Oryctolagus cuniculus: one gene and its partners. The protein of the gene in region 1 purifies or fractionates together with the protein of each later gene. This does not show direct contact. Links are inferred from orthologs where the notes say so. Each region holds a gene or a part of one and is shown on either strand. Other genes may lie near its edges. The genes, in order: tubulin alpha-1A chain, HAX1, DNAJB11, TCP11L2 and BAG2.

Region 1 (4,330 bases):
GGCCCGTGCACTGGTCAGCCTGTTTAAAAGAGAGGAATAGAAAAGATTAAGTCTTTGTTGTCTGTGATACAATCATAGTAAATAGTCTCACTTTTCGTACATCTCTAAGAATTTAGATCTTACTTTAACAAATGCTTTTTAAAAAGCGAAGACCTTGGAATTACTCAACATTTCTTCATTTAAAAATTCTCAGTATTTACAAAATGATATCAGATAGTTCATGTTTTAATTGAATTTTTAAAAACCTTTTTTCAATTTCAATTCTGTTTCAACCAAACAGCATCCCTTAACTTACTAATGTACTTTATTGTTGAGAGGAAACATACCAGCTTGCGAATTCGGTCCAGGACGAGGTCAATGATCTCCTTGCCAATGGTGTAGTGCCCGCGGGCATAGTTATTGGCAGCATCTTCCTTGCCTGTGATGAGCTGCTCGGGGTGGAAGAGCTGGCGGTAGGTGCCGGTGCGAACTTCATCTGGAAGAGGGAAGCAGACCAGCCACCTGTCACTGACAGCCTGCAGGGCCCCGGGGTGCCAGTGGCTCCCCCCTCACAGAATTGTCCCAGACCTGTCCCAGCACCCGGGGCTCTCACTGAGGCCACGGAGGCCAACTCACCAATGACCGTAGGCTCCAGGTCTACAAACACGGCCCTGGGCACGTGCTTGCCAGCGCCCGTCTCACTGAAGAAGGTGTTGAAGGAGTCGTCTCCTCCCCCAATGGTCTTGTCACTTGGCATCTGGCCATCGGGCTGGATGCCGTGTTCCAGGCAGTAGAGCTCCCAGCAGGCATTGCCGATCTGGACACCAGCCTGGCCGACGTGGATGGAGATGCACTCACGCTGTGTGAGGGAAAGAGAAAAATATATATAAATTATTTTGTATTAGCATTTTGAATTTTCAGCAAATTTCTAAAAGTATTTCTAGTAATTAGATCTTCCTCAAATTTATTTGCAGTTTTATCCCTAATATGATAGAAACGATGAAAGAAAAGCACCTGCTACAAATACTGCAGATGGGTGTGGTCTGAATAATAATGTCGCCTTGGCACAGTTTAGCACATGGTGCAAGCCCATTGTTCACAGAGCCATGCTTGAATGGAAGATTTTTTTATGGCTTCAAAGCACAGATTTTGTAAAATGAAGTAAATTAAATTCAATCCAATCATGGATTGGAATTCATTTTACTGCTTTTTTCCCCCTTTAACTGGAGATTAGTTTCTTCTGCAGAGGACTTAGGATTCCAAGAGGCATCTGTACTGCAGCTGCAAGCCACACCCTTCTGCAGTCTGCCTGCAGGATCCATCAATACTAGGAGTTATTAGAAGCTAGACAAAAGTCTGCCTCTGCATTGCTGCACTGCCGTTATTTGCTGTGCCTGGCGCTAGCCTGTACTGTCTGCTACATTATTTAACAGAGCAAGCTCTATTTCCAGCAACTGCCTATATGATCTCATTGTGCTGTTTTGCTAGTTCTTCCCCTGACCCAGCCTGGGACCATGCTCCTGAATCGAAATGAATTAATGAAGACACCCTAGAACAAAAGACGGCTGGAGAGCAGAATGTAATTCTTTGTCTGCAGCAATTGTGTTACTTTAAGTTTTTACAGAATCGCCTCCACTGTAAAAAACTGAAAAATTGTTAGTATTTTTGAAACAACAGTTTGCGAGTTAGGAAGAAATGTTATATGAGAAGCTAGCAAAGAACAAAAGCCCAGTGAAAGGACAGTGAAATATGTATTTAAAGCAACAAAAAAGTGTTTTCTTTCTGAAATTCTTTACCCACCACATAAAATTCTTACTCCTCATCCCACAGAGATTGTCACTTTTAGGGCTGCAATTTTCATTGTCTGCTCCCTGGGGCGGGGGCGGGGCAGGCGTTCCCGACCGCAGCCCAGCAGGCACCCAGGGCGGACCCTGCGCCCCCCCACAGCCCGGCCCCGCAGCCCTCAAGGGCGTGGCCACGCTGGACCAGACTTTAAAGGGCTTGTGAATTGGGATTCTGGGCCTCGAGAAAACAATTTTTTTTCATCTGAGCTTTAGCAGGTAATGAAAACCCTTTTGAAGTCTTCAGTTCCGCGGTGATGCAAGGCTTTTATTCAAGGCTTCCCCGTGACCGCGGAGGCTGAGCGAGGGCGAACCCGGTCCGGCGGCTCCAACACCGGGGAAGCCAGAAACAAACAACCCCGCCCCTGCGCCGCCCCGGCCCCAGCCGCTAGTAGACGGCTGTCTCTCTAGAACGCAAGGGTCTTGCGCCAACCCGAGGCTTCCCTCGGTTCCCGTCCTCCTCTCCGCGCCCAGCTACACCCAGCGCCCCCGGGCTGCAGGTCCCCGGGGAGCCCCACGAGCGCGGAGCGCACGCCCCGCCCGGCTGCGGACCCTCCCGCCCCGCCGGAGGGGCAGCTGCGGCCCCGGGGAGTCCTCGGCGACAAACACTCCCTGGCGTCGCCTTTGTTCGTCCCGGCCGGGCCCTGGCTCCGCACTGCGGCAGCGGCAGGGCGTAGGGACCGAAAGCAAACAAAGCCACCCTGGACAAAAAAGGCTACAAAGGGCTCCCCGGGCCGCCTGGGGGGCCGGCGCTTACCATGGTTGCTGCTGCGCGCGGAGGCCGAGAGGGAGGCTGCTGCTTCTTACAGCGCGACTCTTAGGCGGTCGATGTAAGAGAACCTGCGGCTCGGGCGGTGGCGGCCGCCTATATACAGCCCGGTCGCCATGGGGATGGGCCGGGGCCTCTTCCTGTTGGTCCAGACCCCTCTCTCTGCCCGGAGAAGCCGCGGCAGAAGAGTGCTGATTGGTGCAGGCGACATGGGATGAGGTAATCGCTCCCCCACCCGTTTTCCCCCAGTATCCATAGACTGCATCCTTCAGACAAAGAGACCGAGCCAAAGCCGGCAGCCCAGCATCCATTACGGGGTGGGGCTCTCGGGAGGGGCGGAAGGGAAGAAAGAGGACTGCGGCTAGATCATTTTCTATCGCTTCAGTCTCAACCTGCAGCTAAAATCACCTAGGTACGGTTTCAATCGTAGCATTTGTGTTGAGATGGAATCTTCGTGAAGAATCGCCCCCTGACAGTACACTAAGCTACATTTGGTTACGAACCAGCATCTCGAATTGCTTTAAAAATAAAGTGGGAAAGACGGGAGCGATACTCAAAATGGTTTGAGTAAATATGCTTTCCCTTTCTCTCTTATTTTAATTAGAAAAGGACCCGGTAATACAGTCATCCAAAAAAAAAAAAAAAAGGCTCTGCAGGTTCAATTAATGTATTTTCATATCTTCTTTTGGGCACAGACACCCAAATAGCTCAACAAAATGGGTGATGGGAGGCATAGCCATACCGCATAAAAGAACACAAAAGGTTCTAGCATTGCAGTCGGTGAGAGCTAATGGACACATGAGGGTTAGCTGATGAGAGATACTCATTTGCCAAAAGACTCTGTAATATATTTTGTGAGATGTAGAAATGAATCATCGTTCCCAATACAGAATTGGGAAAACACAAGGAGAAAGAATTGACTGCAGAAACCGGTATCCCTTGTGTGTGCAATTATATTTCTGCATTGCTCGCCTTTTGGGAAAGTTACAAACAAAAAAGAGTAACCAAAACACTAAATTAAAAAGAAGACAAGAAAGATGTAGGATGCAAAAAGAGGACCACTTTGTATTGTTGCCTCCATCTGCAGGCAACTCTGCAGTCTCAGTTCAACCGCAGTCCATTTTTATATAGTGCTTATAAGAATGGGGTCCACACCCTCCTAACTGTGGGAACCTTAGCCGGCCTCACACCGCTGCTATTCAGCTGGAGACTGGTGGCTGCCCAGAGGCCTCTTGGGGACAAAAAAGGCTTTGCTTTCCCCCCTAGGAAATGGTTTGCTGCTCGGAACGGCTCCATTCTCATCAAGGATGGGCTATGCAAAATAGGTCTCCGGGCTGTGCACCTCTTGCCATTGTGGATGACATTTCAGAGGTAAAGAGATTTGTTTGACTATCAAAAATAGAAATTTCTGTTTTTCCTTTCAATTTCCAGCAACTGATTTTCGGGGGCTGCATTACTACAGCGCCCTGTGGAGCCCAGTCACTGCTGCGGGCTGGTGGGCAGAGCAGGGCGTGGGCAGCACTGCAGGTTGTGGGATGACAATGGCGGCTGTGGGACTGCGCTAGCCACACCTCTGCTTTGCTTGCACAGATTTGCTGCAGTAAGTTCTCTAGAAAAAAATGAAGCCTAACACACAAGCCATTTTATCTACTGCTTGCATATTTCATTGTAAAAGTAGTCAACATCACCTTGTTGCAATCCTTTTAGCCAATAAAATATATTTCAGTAAAGAGACAGAAGG
Region 2 (4,139 bases), on another chromosome or scaffold:
GGGGGCCCCCAAATATATATCAGCCCAACAGCCCTAAGTCTCCTCCTTTATTATTAGGAAAACAAAACAACAACAAAATGGCGTCATGAATATGAACAGCATTGTCAGATGAAATTAGTTGAAGTGTTTTTTTTTTTTTTTTTGTACTGTGTCCTCGAATTTAATGGATTAATGTGTCTTGTATATATAAAAAGAAAACCTCTACCTTCAGCCTCTGCCCATTCTTGCTCCGTCTAGGACATCCTCAGTCTCGCCGGTGACCAGCTTGGTGAATAAGTATTACTGTACCAACTGGGCCGCCTCTGGCGGGCCCCGAAGGCAGTGGAATAAAATATCTTCGCCCTTTAAGAACTCTGACCTTAATGTGCTAGTATCTTGCCCCCTAAGAATCTCACAACCCGGTGACTGGAAAGAACCACCACAGATCTCCATTTCCTCAGAAACCGCTGCGTCGAAGGGAGAGGGGTGCAGGCGGCTGGCCGGGGGGCGGACCCAGGGGAGGAAGGGCGGCGCCCAGTCCGAGGACGACCTGGCCCAGCGCGGGAGCCGCCGCAGCGGCCGTGCCCACCCCTGAGACCAGCAGGTCCAGAGCGGGGCCCGCGGTGGGCACGAGAGCACCTGGAGAGACGCCTTCAAAAGTCAACGGCATGGAAACTTCCTTTCCGGGGCTCTTCGCTAACTTCCCTTCCCTTAGCTCTTAAACTTCAAGTCCTTTATCTTGCCGGCTGCAGAACTTTAGAACAAAGAACCCTGTATAGTTAGGACAAACTCCTAGGACCAGTAGCTGGAGAGAGGAAGCTCCCTTGCCCCCGTCTCTCCTCAACCCTGGAGAATGGTAAAGCATTTTGTCCTCTCAGACGTCATCCAGATCAGTGTGGAGACAAAGCGGAGGGCGCCACGGAGCCCAGGCAGCGTCTGCAGGCAGTGGGCCACCGCTGCCGTCCTCGGGCGTGGGGCGGCGGGGCGAGGAAGGGTCTCGGGCCGGTCCGTTACGCGCTCGGGCTGCCCTCTGGCGGCTTTTTCCGGGAGACCATCAGAGTCGAACTCTCGAAACCCCTGTTGGATCGGGTTGGTCGACAGTAAGGAAAATCGACTTAGGATGGCGGAGATCACTGGGAAGTGGAAATGCGCCGCGCCCGCTCCCCTTGCAGAAAACCGCTCTCCAAAAGGTTGGGTGAACACAGCTTTTCACGTTTCAGAACCCTCCGCCCCGCTTCCCCGCCCACATCCGGCTTACAGACGTTTTACGACAATTCGTCCGGATCGCGGGTTTGCTTTCCGGTAGCGTGGACGGACGCTCCGCTCGGTTTCCGACACCGTCGCGCAGGCCCCCTCCTGGGCTACGTGGGGGGGAGGGGGTTCAAAGGTTCAAGTCCCAACACGGGAATGAGCCTCTTTGACCTCTTCCGGGGCTTTTTCGGCTTTTCTGCACCTCGGAGGTGAGAGTAGGTCCGGGTCAGAGAAGGGAGAGGCTCTTCTCGGGGCTGCTTGACCCCGTCACCCTATTTCTTGGAAAGAAAAAAGAAAAACAACCTTTCCCCACCCTGCAACTTCTGCGGAGCGCAGGAGGTCGCAACCTTGAGCACTCACCCCGGGACAGTAATCAGGGCGGTCGTTAAGAGGCGGAGAAACAGTAACCTAAGTCTCTCCTACCTAGGGTGATGCAACAGGGACCTGGGCGGGGAAGACAATGGGGGCTTGGGGAAGAGGAAGTGAGCCAGGTCCTGGGGAGAGGGGAGGGGCTGGGGGGCGCTGAGGAGGCACGGGGGAAAGATGCCCTGAGGGGAGTTGCAAAGTCAGGACCGACGGATGAAAACAGGAAGAAAAGCCAGAGCTGTCCGCTGATAGATTTGGACCTGACAACTTGCTTTCCAGTGGCCCCGCCTCCCCCCCCCCCCCCCCCCAGCTTCCTAGACCCCGCTTTTGCGTACTTTGGTACTTTGATTTCATGGCTTAAAACAGTGCTGAAATCTTGGTGGCCGATCTGCCTCCGCCTTCAGCCACAGAGATCCCTTCTTTGGAGGGATGACTCGAGATGAAGATGAGGATGATGAAGAAGAGGAAGAAGCCACATGGGGCCATGGGAGCTCCAGGTTTCCTGGTTCCCAACCCCCGGAGGAATTTGGATTCAGCTTCAACTTCAGTCCGGGAGGAGGGATGCGTTTCCATGATAACTTCGGCTTTGATGACCTAGTCCGGGATTTCAATAGCATCTTCAGCGAGATGGGGGCCTGGACCTTGCCTTCCCATGCTCCCGGTGTGTGGACTTCCCGGAGGGAGAACCCGTGGTTTCTAGGGGGCTGGTGGGTGAGTGAGCTTGCAGGGAGTGGGAAATGCGAGAAGGCTGATGATTTCAGGGAGCTTAAAGAGCCCAGGCTCTTTCCCACCTGCACCCTTTCTGCAGAGCTTCCAGGTCCCGAGTCAGAGCCGGCTGGTGAGAGACCACGGCGGGGACAGACGCTTCGAGACTCAATGCTTAAGTACCCAGATAGCCACCAGCCCAGGATCTTTGGGGGGGCCGTGGAGAGTGATGCAGGAACTGAGTCTTCCAAACCAGCAGCAGACTGGGGCTCCCAGAGGCCTTTCCACAGGGTGAGTACCCACCCCGTGTGAGCCTGAAGCCACTAACAGCACAGAGACCAGGATCCTCCTCGGAATCCTATACATTTGAGTTGGAAGTCCAGGCCTTCCACTTAACTCTGCTGATTTTACGTTTCTTGTAGGATCTCATTGGAGGGAGGGAGGGGAATGGGAGTTCTGTTTCTTTAAAAAAGAAAAAAAAAAATCCACCGGTTTAGATGAGTGCTTGTCCTGGGAAGCTTTCTTGGTAGAAGGCCGTGGAGCAGTAGGTAGAGTTGTCGGGACCGCAGGTGCTCCTCCTGGGGGCGGGGGTGGGGGGGTCAGGACTTAGGAGTAGTTTGAGGCTTTCGCTTCGGAAGGTGTCTCTTCATCTGTGTGGCTTCTTCTGCAGTTTGATGATGTGTGGCCTGTGACTCCCCATCCCCGGGCCAGAGAGGACAACGGTGAGTCTGGAGAGAGGGCGCGTGTTCCGTCCCCCGTCCCCCGCTGCAGATCTGCCCTGCCACACTGGTCCTCTTTCTTCCCCTTGGACTCTGTCTCCTGGTTCTTAATCTCGGTGCCTTTCCAGATCTTGATTCCCAGGTTTCCCAGGAGGGTCTTGGCCCAGTTCTGCAGCCTCAGCCCAAATCCTATTTCAAGAGTATCTCTGTGACCAAGATCACTAAGCCAGACGGGGTGAGTGAGTGAGAGAGGGGAGTGAAAGGAAGCCAGCCAGCGAATGCCCTGGAAAGAGGGCTCTGTCAAAAGAGACCGCTGACTCGCCCTTAGTGATGTTGGCAACATGGCGGGGGCTTCTCCCTGCAGGCCGTGGAGGAACGCCGGACTGTGGTGGACAGTGAGGGCCGCTCGGAGACCACGGTGACCCGGCAGGAGGCAGACGGCAGTCCGAGAGGCGGTGAGTTAGGGGCACGGTTCAAGGGGGTCCGCCGTGTCACTGCCTGCGGAAGGGACGCATTCTCTGTGGTCTTTCGTATTCTCTCCCCTTGCCCCGTCCAGGCTCTTCAGTGGCTTACTGTATGATTTTTTTCCCTTAGATCCAGAATTACCGAGGTCTCCATCCCTGGATGATGCCTTTTCCATCCTGGATTTGTTCCTAGGACGTTGGTCCCGGTCCCGGTAGCCTTGTTACCCCTCAGGGGTCTCCAGGTCCCCCTGCACTGCCCACCATCAGCGAACTGGGCTGCTTCTCCTGCCCACTTCAGGGGCTTGGGTGTGTGCACCAGGAGGCTGGGGCAGGTCAGTGTGTCACCTGCCCAGACTGACCAATAAAACCTCTATTTATGCTAATTTCTTGTTCTTGGTTTTGTCAAGGCTGTTTTATTTCCCGGAACCATGCAGAGCTTCTCAGATTATCTTGACTCACAGCCTTCTCCTTATTTGATTTTTTTTCCCCATTTCCAAAACCTGATTTGATAAGGAAGGATCAGATACCAGCAGAAAATCATCTTCGTACGAGATGACATAATTTCAGGAACATTCCTTTAAAAAGGATGCATCAGATTCCAAAAAAAAAAGGGGGTGGGGGATGTGTGTACCCGGGGTAGCTGCTTCCTCAGTCA
Region 3 (3,549 bases), on another chromosome or scaffold:
TTTTTGTTAATACACAAAATACAAAAATAGTTCAGAAAGTTGTGGAGGGGTGGATGTTTGGCCTAGTGGTTAAGACACTCATGTCCCATAAAGCAGTACCTGAGTTGGAGCCCCAGCTCTTTGCCTAATTCCAGCTTCTTCCTGATGCAGACTCTGGGAGGCAGCAGTGATGGCTCAGGTAGTTCCTGCCACCCACATGAAAGGCCGCTCCTGTCTTCAGCTTGGCCCAGTTCTGGCCACTGTGGGGAGTGAACCAGTGGATGGGACCTCTCTCTTCTGTCTCTATCACCATCTTCCTCCCTTTCTCTAGCTCTTTGTCTCTCTGTCTGCTTCTCAAAGAAAAAAAATTAAAAGTTCCTGAAAAATTGTATGAAAAGATAAGTGTATTCTGGTATAAAATATTTTAAAGCCATCCATCCATACAAAAGGTCTTAAAAAGTTCATGGAGAATTTATATTATGAAAAAAGCTATGCTTGAATTTAAAAATTTTTTTTCAGCAAAAAACTTAACTTTTAGTTCCATTTTTCCCTGGACTTTTTAAAATACCCATGTATATTACTTTTTACAGTGAATGCCCCCCCCCCCTTTGTAATATAATCATGGGAAAAATGTGAATGCCCTTACTATTTAAAAATGTTTTAAGAAACGATTACCTTAAGAGATAGGGTATGATTAGAAGCATGGACTTTGCAAGTAGTCTGCTTTGTTTGGAACTGTGGTCCTGCCATGTATTAGTTATGTGACCTTGGACCTGCCACCTGGTCTGTAAAATGGAGATAACAGTACCTACCTCACAAGGTTGCCGTGAAGATTAGGTGAATATGTAAAAGTTTTTAGAGCATTGCTTGGTATGTAATAAGTGCTGTAAAGTATTTGCTCTAATTCCTATCATTGTTAGGCTTTATTCTGCTGACCCGGGCTTTCATACACTGGTAATCCTTAAGGGACTGCTCCAAGCATTGGTGTCATGCTGCTGCGTGAGTATGCGTGCACCTCGTGATTAGGTGTTTGACTAATTAAACAGGCAAAAACAGGGATGTACTTCTTCACATATATATCTTTTTTTAAAAAAATTATTATTTGAAAGGCAGAGTTATAGAGAGGCAGAGAGAGAGAAAGATGTCTTCCATCTGCTGGTTTACCCCCTAAATGGCTGCAATGGCTGGAGTTGGGCCCATCCGAGCCAGGAGCCAGGAGCTTCTGGGTCTCCCACGCAGGTGCAGGGGCCCAAGGGCTTGGGCCATCTTCTACTGCTTTCCCAGGCCATATCAGAGAGCTGGATGGGAAATGGAGCAGCCGGGACTCAAACTGGTGCCCATATGGGATTCCAACCCTGCAGGCGGCAGCTTTATCCACTATGCCACAGCATTAGCCCCTATATTAATTTCACACACCTCGAGAGATCAGAGTGTTTGATTGCAGTCAGCTACAAAGAGATGGCAGCTATGTGTTTGCTATGTGTTAAGGTATCTGAATGGAGATAGCACTGGAAAACAGGCCAGGGTCGGGTTACCTAGAACAAGGAGCTGTCTTCATTGGGATCAGACGGCAGCCGCACACCAGCCCTGAAGGCTGTGGTTGTTCTTCAGGGGTTGTGCTTTACAAGGCCTCGATTTCAGCAGATGTAATTCTGTAACTACCGCAGTCGGGCTCACAAGTGCTGACATTATAAACCTTACTCTGGGTCTCTTCTTCCCTACTCCGCTCTCTCTTTACCTCTCAAACTTCAGAATTTGAGTCATTTAAATATGTGTTTGCCTCATTCCTGTTTGTGCTCCCCAGGGAGTCCTGTGAGCTCTTGGTCTCTCTGAGGGATGGCTTGTCTGGGAAGGGGCAGCTCCAGGTCCAGCCAGTGGCCAGAGCCCTGGTTGGCTGAGGTCCCCAAAGACAGTGAAGCTGATGTTGTTTATGCACTTCTTAGGTAGTTAGAAACAAACCTGTGGCAAGGCAGGCTCCCGGCAAACGGAAGTGCAACTGTCGGCAAGAGATGCGGACCACCCAGCTGGGCCCAGGGCGCTTCCAGATGACCCAGGAGGTGGTCTGCGATGAGTGCCCTAACGTCAAGTAAGTGAAGCATCTTCTTGGTTCCGCCAAGAAACACTCGAGTAATCGCTTTTGTCTAATGAGGCGTCAGTGGTCCATCCCCAGCTCTTCCTCCCTCCCCTTACCATGTTCTACCGAAGGATAGAGCAGGAATGGACATTTTAACTTTTTCCAGAAGTGTTTCTTCAGAATATGCGTATCTTTAATGTTTCTGAAACAGTAAGCAGTGCTGTCTATGTCTGAGTAGACTTACCAAGTGCTGAGGTTTCATTTTCTTCCTGCTTGCATAGCAGAGCAGTCTTATGTGTTTGTGTACTATATAGTAGTTCTGCCCTAAGTTTGGACATTTAGAAGGTGTAAGTGGATTTCAGAGGTCTTTGCAGAGGAGAGGTACACTGTAGTCTTCCAAGAAAAAGTCCTGATAACATAGATAACACTTTAATTATCTGTATCTTGGGTTTTCATTTGTATCTTCATTTTGTTTTTCTTCTTAAATTCTCTTTGTCTTAGACTAGTGAATGAAGAACGAACTCTGGAAGTAGAAATAGAACCTGGAGTGAGAGATGGCATGGAGTACCCCTTTATTGGAGAAGGTGGGATATTGATACTGATGTTTTATGATCATAACTTTCTGCTCTCCACTTACGAATATTTGTCTCACCCCATATCCTAATGGCCTCGTAGTGAATGCATATAAAATTCACCACACATGGAGAATCTTTTCTGACCATCACGGTTAGTCACCTGAGGCGGTGTCATTACTATTTGTCCTTCAAATATCATGCCCAAAAGTTACTATCAGGTGGCCTCAATTTCACCAGAATTTAAAGTGTCCAGACCTTTATGGATTAATTTTAACTTGACAGTGAAAGAAGATTCGCTGCCAGACTGTACCTTTGGGCTCAAATTTAAAACTCTAAAAGGATAAAAGCTTTCAGACTTCAGGTTCAGGGCATCAATGAATCATTCTTTGTTTGAGAAATAGGTCAAGTTATTTATTACCATGCCTGAGGCACAAAGTGATCTTATCTTCACTAGTAATCTGAAACGCTGTAACCAGGCAGAGACACTTCCTTCACAGATAAACTTGACAGAATCAATGCCAAGGTGGTGGCTTAAAAGAATTCTCTCAGCTGCCAAATAGATTTGTGGTATTCGACTTGTGTGACTTACGGTATGCTGTCATCTGTTCTGACTAGGCGAGCCTCATGTGGACGGGGAGCCTGGAGACTTACGGTTCCGAATCAAGGTTGTCAAGTAAGTGACCTAGTTCCAGAGGCTTCTCTAGCCCCTGCTTTCCGCAGGCATCAGAGCATCCAGTGTTCTTCTCTGTTCCGTGCCCTGAACTAGTCTTTGTAACTCTTGAACAGTACTGAAAATGTGGGGTTGGACCCCAGGATTGAGCCCCCTTTATTATTTACTTAGGACTTACAAGTCCAAAAGATGTCTTAAGGAAAAAAATTGATAGAACAAGTAAGGACTTGTAAAAGAGAAGCAAACAAGAA
Region 4 (3,549 bases), about 56 Mb from region 1:
CTCTGCTGAGTGACCTTGCCAAATGGCAATTGGAGTTTGGGGGATGTTTCCCTTTTCCAGCCTGTAACCTAGGTAATAGTTAATGAATTTTGGCTTAGCTCCTTAATCACCTCTCTATTTTCATTCTAAAATTTATAGACAAATATTTCATGTCCTGGACCTCATGAAAATGGACATGGCCAATTTTACAATTAGGAGCCTTAGACCACACCTTCAACGCCAGTTGGTGGAATATGAGAGAACCAAGTTCCAGGAAATTTTGGAAGAAACTCCAAGTGAGTATACTATAATGTGTATTTATATTGAAGTTGGGTGTCAATATGATACCTAGATAAAGAATTTTGACCTTGCTGTGAAACATCTTTTGACCTTATAAAATGACATAACAAATTTACAGTTGTTTTCTCTGTTCCAAGTATGTACTTAGTACTATTGACTTCTTCATTCATTCAAGAAATATTTACTGAGCACCTGCTATATTCCAGAAACTGCTTAGGTGGTACGGTTAATGTAGATAACAAAATGGAATAAAGTTGCATTCCCAAGGAGCTGAGATTCTAGTAGGCATGACTAATAAGCAAGCATATTTTCAAACGTATTAAGTTCTGTAAAGAAAAACAGCATAAGGACATCAACAGTAATAGCGTAGGAAAGAATTTAAGGGGTGACTTCTTGATGAGATACACTGGGGAGGCCTCTTTAATAAGGAACCCTTGAGCAAGGTTTGCAAAAACAGTGAGAAAGATTGTGTGAAAAATCTGAGAGAAGGAACATTCTAGCCAGAGGGAGCTACAAGTACAAAGACCTGAGGCAGAATCTTGCTTGTGAAGTTTGATAAATGCAAGACAGACACTGTGGCTGAAGCAGGGTAGGTAAGGGAAGAGTGATGGGAGATGAGGCTGGGAGGCAGACAGAGACAGGTCTCCTAGGCCCCTGATAATAACCAGAGGAGTAGATTTCAGTCCAAGTATGATGGAAAGTTATTGGAGAGTTCTAAGTTGGGAAGTGACATCTGATATTAATTTTTGAAAATACGGTCATGAGCCGCATGACATTTCAGCCAACAGACCCATACCTGATGGAGAGCCTGGCAGATTATCATGCAGTGATGTCATAGCCATCTTAGTTTGCATAAGTACATTTTCTGAGGTTTGTGCCTTACAGTGCATTTCTAGGAACAGTCCCAGGTGACCATACCAGGGCAGATAACAAATTGTTGAGAGCAAAGAGGGGAGCAGTTGCTCAGGCAGGAAATAGTGATGACATGTCCTAGGTGGTAGTGGTGGAAGAGTAGATTTGCTGGTGTTTAGTAAGGGGGAACAAAGAGGAGCTTGGAATACGTTTAAGGTTCTTGGTCTGGGCAACTGGGTGGATGGTGGTGTATTTTAGTGAGATGAGAGAGACAAGGGGGATGGGAAATGATGGAGGATAAGAAGTCAGTTTCAGATATATGATCTTTCAGATCTGGCTTGACATCAATGTGGAGATGGACATTGGCATTTATATAGAAGAAACTGGAGTGGAGAGGAATTGATGAACTATGGGTGTACAATTAGGAATCATCAATATGTTGTATACAAGGGATCTTCTAAAAATTCATGAAAATTATCTTTTAATTTCATTTTCCCACAGCTTTTTGAGGTACCCTTGTATAAAGCCATGGAACTAGATAGCTTATCACGGGCTAGGCACCTTACATGCATTAACTGATGTAACCCTTACACCACCAATGGGAAGTCTTCTCCCCCACTTTTATGGATGAGGAAGCTGTCGGCAGGAAGAGGTTAAATTACTTCCCTGCATAACATAGATTGTAAGACATGGAGTTGGGACTGAGCTCGGCAGCTGGCCCTGCAGTCCATGCCCTTATTTATCCCTGGATTATACTGGGTGACACAGCCTGGGCAGCGAGTGTAGATGTTGAAGGGGACTGGCCTGGGACACTCCAGCATCTGCAGGTTGAGATGAGGAGGAGGATGCAGCAATGGGGACTGTGAAGGAGTAGCCCGAGAAGGAGTATGGAGGTCAGGAGTCAGTGAGTCCTACAAGGCAAGTGAAGACATGTTTGAAGCAGGTGGATGTGAGAGGGGGTGGTAGGTGCTGTCAGGTGGTGAGGAAGGAGGAAGGCTAAGGCTTGACCATCCAATAGTAACCATGTGAAGACCGTTGGTAACCATGGGAGAGCAGTTTCAGTGGACTTGTGGGCCTGGAACCCAGACTGGAGGGAGGTCAGGGAAGAACGGAAGTAGAGGAAGTATAACCTCACTGTTACCAACTACCCGGTGAGCTAAGTGCAGTTATCCCCAGTGGGGGACTGAAGTGTCAGGTGTTGCATTGCCGGCAAGAGGCTCACTGGCAGAGCCTTGGCACCACAATTCATTAACCACATCCGAACAGAGTTACGTGATCCTCTGCCACCCCTCTATAGACTGAACTTTTCTGCCAAAATAGTGAACAAACCAAGTGCCACTTCAGACAGAGCTGTGGCAGGCAGGAGAGCATCCAGGGGAGAGGGCGTGGAGAGCCACACGAGGAATGGTCGCTGAAGCCGGCCGCGTTCCACTTGGTACCAAGGAGACTCAGGTGGGCCAGGCACCACCCCACCCATTGACAGAAGTGCAGACTTTGGTTAAGCTCTGTGGTGATGACCAGGATCCATAGGTAGGAAGCCCCAGCCAGCCTGACCTTCTTAACAGTTGGAGCTCTTTAAACTTTGGAATGGGCCTCTGTGTTGCCTCTATGTTGCTAGTACTGGAATGGGCCTCTATGTTGCTAGTGCTAGCTAACGTATCTGAGCATTTGTTACTTGCCAAGTCCTTACTGTGTGCCAAACAGTTAACATTATTACTTCATTTAGGCCTCACAGTAGCCCTGAGAGGTTGGTAGTATTATCACCCCCTATTTATAGATGAGGAAATGGAGGTTCGGGCACATACCCTAGGGGCCTACAAGCAAGTAGTAGAGCCTGGATGGCCCGTGTTGGCCTTTGCATCACAGCGTGTGCATTTACACAGTGTGCAGCACTGTCTGACCTCAAGCAACATTGCATCTGCCTGTGGGGGATATTCCATCTGCTAGTTCACTAGCCAAATGCCTGCAATGGTTGGGGCTGGACCAGGCTGAAGCTAGGTGCCTGAAACTCCGTCCAGATCTCCCATGTGGGTGGCAGGGGCCCAAATGCTTGGGCCATCTTCTGCTGCTTTCCCAGGTGCATTAGCAGGGAGCTGGAACAGAAGTGGAGCAGCAGGACTTGAAATGGCATGCATATTAGATGCCAGTGTTGCAGGCAAAGGCTTAACCTCCTGTACCACAATGCAGGCCCAAAGGCTCAGTGACTTCTAAGGATCCTTCCACAATTCTGTGACTTCAAGCACTCTGTGGTTTTTAGCTCTCAAGGGAAAGGGATTAAGAGAAATAGGACCCTATTAGAATGTGAAACCTGAACTGTAGCAAATGCATTCTTAACAGCATTTTTGTGAGACTGAAGTGGTTGGTTTCTTTTGTGTGCCTGTGCCTGTGCGTATGTTCTCAAAATGTGCCCTTGTCTTG
Region 5 (4,283 bases), on another chromosome or scaffold:
TCGAAGGGTGCTTGGTATACTCAGGGAAAAGCAAGAAGGCTAGTAGGTCTGAAGCAGCATGGGCTAGGAGAGTAATGATCAACTTTGAGGCTTTTCTAAGGACCTTGGCTTTTATGCTGATCTGAGGATCTACTGAAGGTTTCTGAGAGTAAGTGCTGTCATCCACCTTAATTAGGATTATTGCAGTTGAGAATACACATGAGAAGCAAGAGTGGAAGTATGAACCAAAGAGGGACGCTCAATGATCCAGGTGCAAGTTGACCAGGTTACGTGGACCTAGTGGAAATGGAGCTGAGGGAAGAATCTTGGACATACTGTGAAGGTAGCATTCATGTGATTACTGATGGACTGGATCTAGGACATGAGAGAAAGTCCAAGGTGAATCTAAAGTCTCTTGAGAGACATCAAGCCATTCACAAAATGTGTTGGGATATCGAGTTTAATGTTTGGCAAAAATATGTTTAATGAGATCGGTCAAATAACACCCTATACCAAAAGCTTACTAGTATTTAGAATGAGTACAGATGGAATTGGGATCCAGGCTTAAGAGTTCCCTCTCTGCTAAAGTATTTAAGTGGTGATGGTCACTGATGAAAGGTTGTGATTCAGCTTCAAAGCTGTTATTACCATTTCCATGCCTTCAGTTTTCATACTTGCAATACGAACATTCTTGTAACGTGAGCTATCCTGAGAGCGGAGCAAAGCACAATATTTTAAATACAGCGGCCCTGCTCCATCTTTTACTGATATTTACTGGATTTTTGTTGTTGTCGTTAACAGATTTAATACGTTGGGTGTGAAGTGACCATTACCAACTATTTAAAATACCAGAAAAAATTTTTGTAGGCATAAAAGTGAAATTCCCTTTCTTGGAATGTGTGGGAATTAAATTCACTTTGCTTCGCATCTGGAGCTAGACAGGCAAAGACGGGATAGCTGCTTCATTCTTTCTCAGTAGCGTCAGTGTGGTCCAGGCTGTTATTCTCAGAAAAGTGACTTGGTCAAGTACAGACTGCCGAGGAGGCGGTGTCCTTCTATGTCTTCTGCTTTGCAAAGGGACCTTTTCTCCCTGTCGGCAGAAACCTGAATGTTTTTTCGTTCTTGCTTTGAATTCTGGGTGCTGAAAGGAAGTAAACGAAACCATCGGTGAGCCATGCACCCACAGCCTGCCCACCGTGTGGTATGGTAACTCCGCATAGGGGGAGTTGGCTACTTTTATGCTGCACCAAGAGTCGGGGCTTGGGTGTTCGCTGGGTCTCCGCGCCGATTTCGGGTTGTTCCAGGAGCAGAGAGCAGCCGACTACGTTAGGTGCTCCCCTTTTTGGGTCCTCCCATCCCAGAGTCTCGGAGGCCTTAGCTCCTGAGGCCCACCCTCGAGCTTTTGCGGCCAGCTAGCCCCCTCCAGGCCCCGCCACCCCCAGCCCGCGCGCGCCGCGCCTGCCCTTCTTTGGCCACGCAGCCGCGGCGGAGTCGGCGCGTCCTCGCGAGCCGCCCCCGCGGGCGTCAGAGAGAGGCGGGCGCCCCGCGCGGTGACGGCGACGCCTGCGGCCCGGGAGCGCTCCACTCGCCACCGCGGGAGAGGCCGGTGACCTCTCGGCCGCCCCGCCTCAGAGGCTCAGATGGCTCAGGCGAAGATTAACGCCAAAGCCAACGAGGGGCGCTTCTGCCGCTCCTCCTCCATGGCCGACCGCTCCAGCCGCCTGCTGGAGAGTCTGGACCAGCTCGAGCTCAGGTGAGCGGCCGGCGGGCCGGCGAGGGGCACGCGGCGGGCTCGGGCGTCCTGCTCGCCGCGTGGGCGGCCGGCGGGCGGAGGCCCCGCCTGGGGCAAGCGGCGGCGAGAGAAGTTGCTTGTTGGGGTGGTGTGGATGGAGGCGGTGCGGTTTTGTGTCCTGGCAGGTTTTCCTCTCCTCGCTGAGAGAAAACGCGTTCCGTCCCAGCTAACCTGTGAGCACGTTATTGATGGACACGTGAACACACCTGTGTGTTTTAGCGAATACCCAGAGAAGATAAAAGTTAGGGTGATGGTAATGGAGATTATTTCCAGAACCTTCTCTGGGGTCCCAAAGATCTTTAAGCCCCCCCCCCCCAAGGTTGCGAGTTAAGGGAAAAAGATTAAAGTGTTCTCCCCACCCCACCCCACCCCCCGTGAAGTTTTCTTGTTCCAAAGCACTTCAGAGCAGAAAGGGGGGGGACCCCAGGAATGCATCTAAGAGCAAAAATTGTAGAGCAGTAGGCCAAGGGAGGGGCTGTAGGAGGAACAGTAACTGGGTCCTGTACCTCGTGGATTAAAGACATTATGGCTGCCTTTGCTCTCCTAAGCCCACATACTGTGTTCCAGTATTTATTTTCTTAATATTTATTACCTTACATAAAAGATGCTGCTGAGACCTTAAAAGTGCTAGTCACTGGCCCGAAAGCATGAAAAGATAGTCAACAGTTTTTCCTTTTTCCCTTGATGACAGTTTTAAGTAAGTAAGATAGTGATAGGCTTGTATAGAATGTCTAAGTAGTAATAAGTTTTGGAAATGGCTTTTTCCTTTAACAGTGTATAAAAACGTATATGTACTATCTATGAACATTTGTGTCTGAAGTTAGTGTCTGCGTTGTGGTTGTGTGCAGGTATAGTTAGGTGAAAATCTTGAGACACGCATAGCCCCCTGACACTGTACATAGGATTTGGTTCAGTAGTTTCTGCCAAGCTCTGAAGGCGCAAAGGAGTGTGGAAGCCCCAAAGTGTAAACAGTGCTGTATTGTGTGTCCTTCTCTCCCTCCATTAATATAGCAAAACATGAAGAAGTGTCTGTTTGCCCAGAAAAGATACCAGTAACCACAGTGTCTGCTAGTAAAAAAAGATTCGCTATTACTACTGGGAGGAAATCGCCAGAAAGTGTGAAATTCTCCACTCACAATTCCAGGGATGGCAACAGAGCCACCTGGGCCCTAAGCCAGGTACTGGGGTTCACTTAGGGTGCGACAAGTTGAAGAGAGAAGCAATGCTTCCTTATGGATTGCCACAGAATCAGCAAACCTGGGTTCAACACCCAGAGAAAGTGGAGTGAAACTACAGTGGCCTCAGCTACTCCAAGCCCCTCTAAGGAATGGGATTTCTTTTGTGTAGCAGCTTAGTAAGTACCTTAGACTTCTCTCCAGGCGTTCTCTACTAGCCTCTCTCCCCCAGTCAGAGAGAACAGGTTTTCTCTTATAGGAATGAGGAGCATGTTCCCCCTCCTTCCTTCCTTCCTTCCTTCCAATGACAAGCTGAGTCATTGTCCTCACATGTGGTAGGCACAAAAGCAGTCAAGTGCTCCTCTTCTAAAACAAGGCCTCTGATTTGGGGTATTACTGTATTTCTGATATTTGGTGAATGTCAAATGAATTCTGATTACTGCACATAAGTGATTAAATTACAAGTTGCTTAATTACCACTTGGGCTGAAGGAGGAAAGTCTGATTAATATGTGTGTTAATTGTTCATTTCAAGGGCTTCTCGAATAATTCTAGAGTTTTGTTTCTTCCTTTTAAAAAGAGTAATACTGAAAACTAAACAAGTGTTTCAGAAGGTTCGCAAAAATAGAGAAAAATGCTACTGCTGATCCTAACTGAAGTTTGGATGATACCATGCAGGCAATGTGCAGAGCATTGTACCAGTGAAAACTAGAATCGTGCCTAGAGGGAGGTCGAGTTTTCAAACATGAAATTCATATATAATTTATTCTCATCGTTTGAGGTCATATTAAGTAACACTAATAAAGTAGTTATGTTAGTAGAGTGAGGCATTTTAGCTTGTACTTAGAAGTATGCATGTACTGTTCTCTAATGCTAGTTTGATGTTTGGGAAGGAAACTTCTTCCCTCTGAAACCAAAAACAGGATTATACCCAGTGCTTGATGACCTGGAATATTTGGCCTTCCTGATGCTTAAAATGCTGTAAAATGTTTGGCAGTCTTCTTCAGTTTGTTTCTGATACTTGATTGTTACACAAGCCTTGCTTTTTTGACTGCATTTTGTCTCCAGATTGCGTCCCCAAAGAGGCAGTTCCTTTCTCTCCTGGTTTTCATGATTTCTGAATGGAATATAATTTTACATTTGTCAATAGCTCAAGCTACTCTGCTAATTATCTTTTTAGACATTTATCATTTATAAATAATACAGCTTACATGTCAGGCTCCATATCTGTGTGGAAATTACTGTAATCTGCACTCTACAGATGAGAAACTGAGGCTTAGAAACTAAAGACTCATCCAAGGTCATACCACCAGAGAGTAGTGTGCTTTAAATCTGAAC

What was found.
Region 2: the proteins of tubulin alpha-1A chain (region 1) and HAX1 purify together in Homo sapiens (affinity purification with mass spectrometry; 3 studies listed by BioGRID and IntAct, with this or other methods). This does not show direct contact. The link is inferred for Oryctolagus cuniculus from reciprocal best matches to the Homo sapiens genes TUBA1A and HAX1.
Region 3: the proteins of tubulin alpha-1A chain (region 1) and DNAJB11 purify together in Homo sapiens (affinity purification with mass spectrometry; 3 studies listed by BioGRID and IntAct, counting the BioPlex papers as one, with this or other methods). This does not show direct contact. The link is inferred for Oryctolagus cuniculus from reciprocal best matches to the Homo sapiens genes TUBA1A and DNAJB11.
Region 4: the proteins of tubulin alpha-1A chain (region 1) and TCP11L2 purify together in Homo sapiens (affinity purification with mass spectrometry; 3 studies listed by BioGRID and IntAct, counting the BioPlex papers as one, with this or other methods). This does not show direct contact. The link is inferred for Oryctolagus cuniculus from reciprocal best matches to the Homo sapiens genes TUBA1A and TCP11L2.
Region 5: the proteins of tubulin alpha-1A chain (region 1) and BAG2 purify together in Homo sapiens (affinity purification with mass spectrometry; 4 studies listed by BioGRID and IntAct, with this or other methods). This does not show direct contact. The link is inferred for Oryctolagus cuniculus from reciprocal best matches to the Homo sapiens genes TUBA1A and BAG2.

The regions. Positions count from the first base shown.
Region 1 is NC_091442.1:52,629,028-52,633,357, forward strand, and holds the start of tubulin alpha-1A chain, read right to left. Parts: upstream 2,808-4,330; 5' UTR 2,581-2,807; coding exon 2,578-2,580; intron 2,040-2,577; exon of another isoform or gene 1,933-2,039; intron 839-1,932; coding exon 616-838; intron 476-615; coding exon 327-475; intron 20-326; coding exon 1-19. UniProt on the Homo sapiens protein: Tubulin is the major constituent of microtubules, a cylinder consisting of laterally associated linear protofilaments composed of alpha- and beta-tubulin heterodimers.
Region 2 is NC_091438.1:44,123,467-44,127,605, reverse strand, and holds HAX1 (HCLS1-associated protein X-1), read left to right. Parts: upstream 1-1,292; 5' UTR 1,293-1,386; coding exon 1,387-1,439; intron 1,440-1,962; exon of another isoform or gene 1,963-2,000; coding exon 2,001-2,257; intron 2,258-2,404; coding exon 2,405-2,592; intron 2,593-2,971; coding exon 2,972-3,023; intron 3,024-3,148; coding exon 3,149-3,255; intron 3,256-3,384; coding exon 3,385-3,475; intron 3,476-3,614; coding exon 3,615-3,700; 3' UTR 3,701-3,867; downstream 3,868-4,139. UniProt on the Homo sapiens protein: Recruits the Arp2/3 complex to the cell cortex and regulates reorganization of the cortical actin cytoskeleton via its interaction with KCNC3 and the Arp2/3 complex. Slows down the rate of inactivation of KCNC3 channels. Promotes GNA13-mediated cell migration.
Region 3 is NC_091435.1:96,300,485-96,304,033, forward strand, and holds part of DNAJB11 (dnaJ homolog subfamily B member 11), read left to right. Parts: intron 1-1,922; coding exon 1,923-2,065; intron 2,066-2,554; coding exon 2,555-2,637; intron 2,638-3,243; coding exon 3,244-3,301; intron 3,302-3,549. UniProt on the Homo sapiens protein: As a co-chaperone for HSPA5 it is required for proper folding, trafficking or degradation of proteins.
Region 4 is NC_091442.1:108,928,863-108,932,411, forward strand, and holds part of TCP11L2 (T-complex protein 11-like protein 2), read left to right. Parts: intron 1-138; coding exon 139-275; intron 276-3,549. UniProt on the Homo sapiens protein: Promotes the migration of muscle-derived satellite cells (MDSCs) during differentiation throught interaction with FMNL2 and therefore may participate in microfilament assembly.
Region 5 is NC_091436.1:112,404,877-112,409,159, reverse strand, and holds the start of BAG2 (BAG family molecular chaperone regulator 2), read left to right. Parts: upstream 1-1,457; 5' UTR 1,458-1,619; coding exon 1,620-1,732; intron 1,733-4,283. UniProt on the Homo sapiens protein: Co-chaperone for HSP70 and HSC70 chaperone proteins. Acts as a nucleotide-exchange factor (NEF) promoting the release of ADP from the HSP70 and HSC70 proteins thereby triggering client/substrate protein release.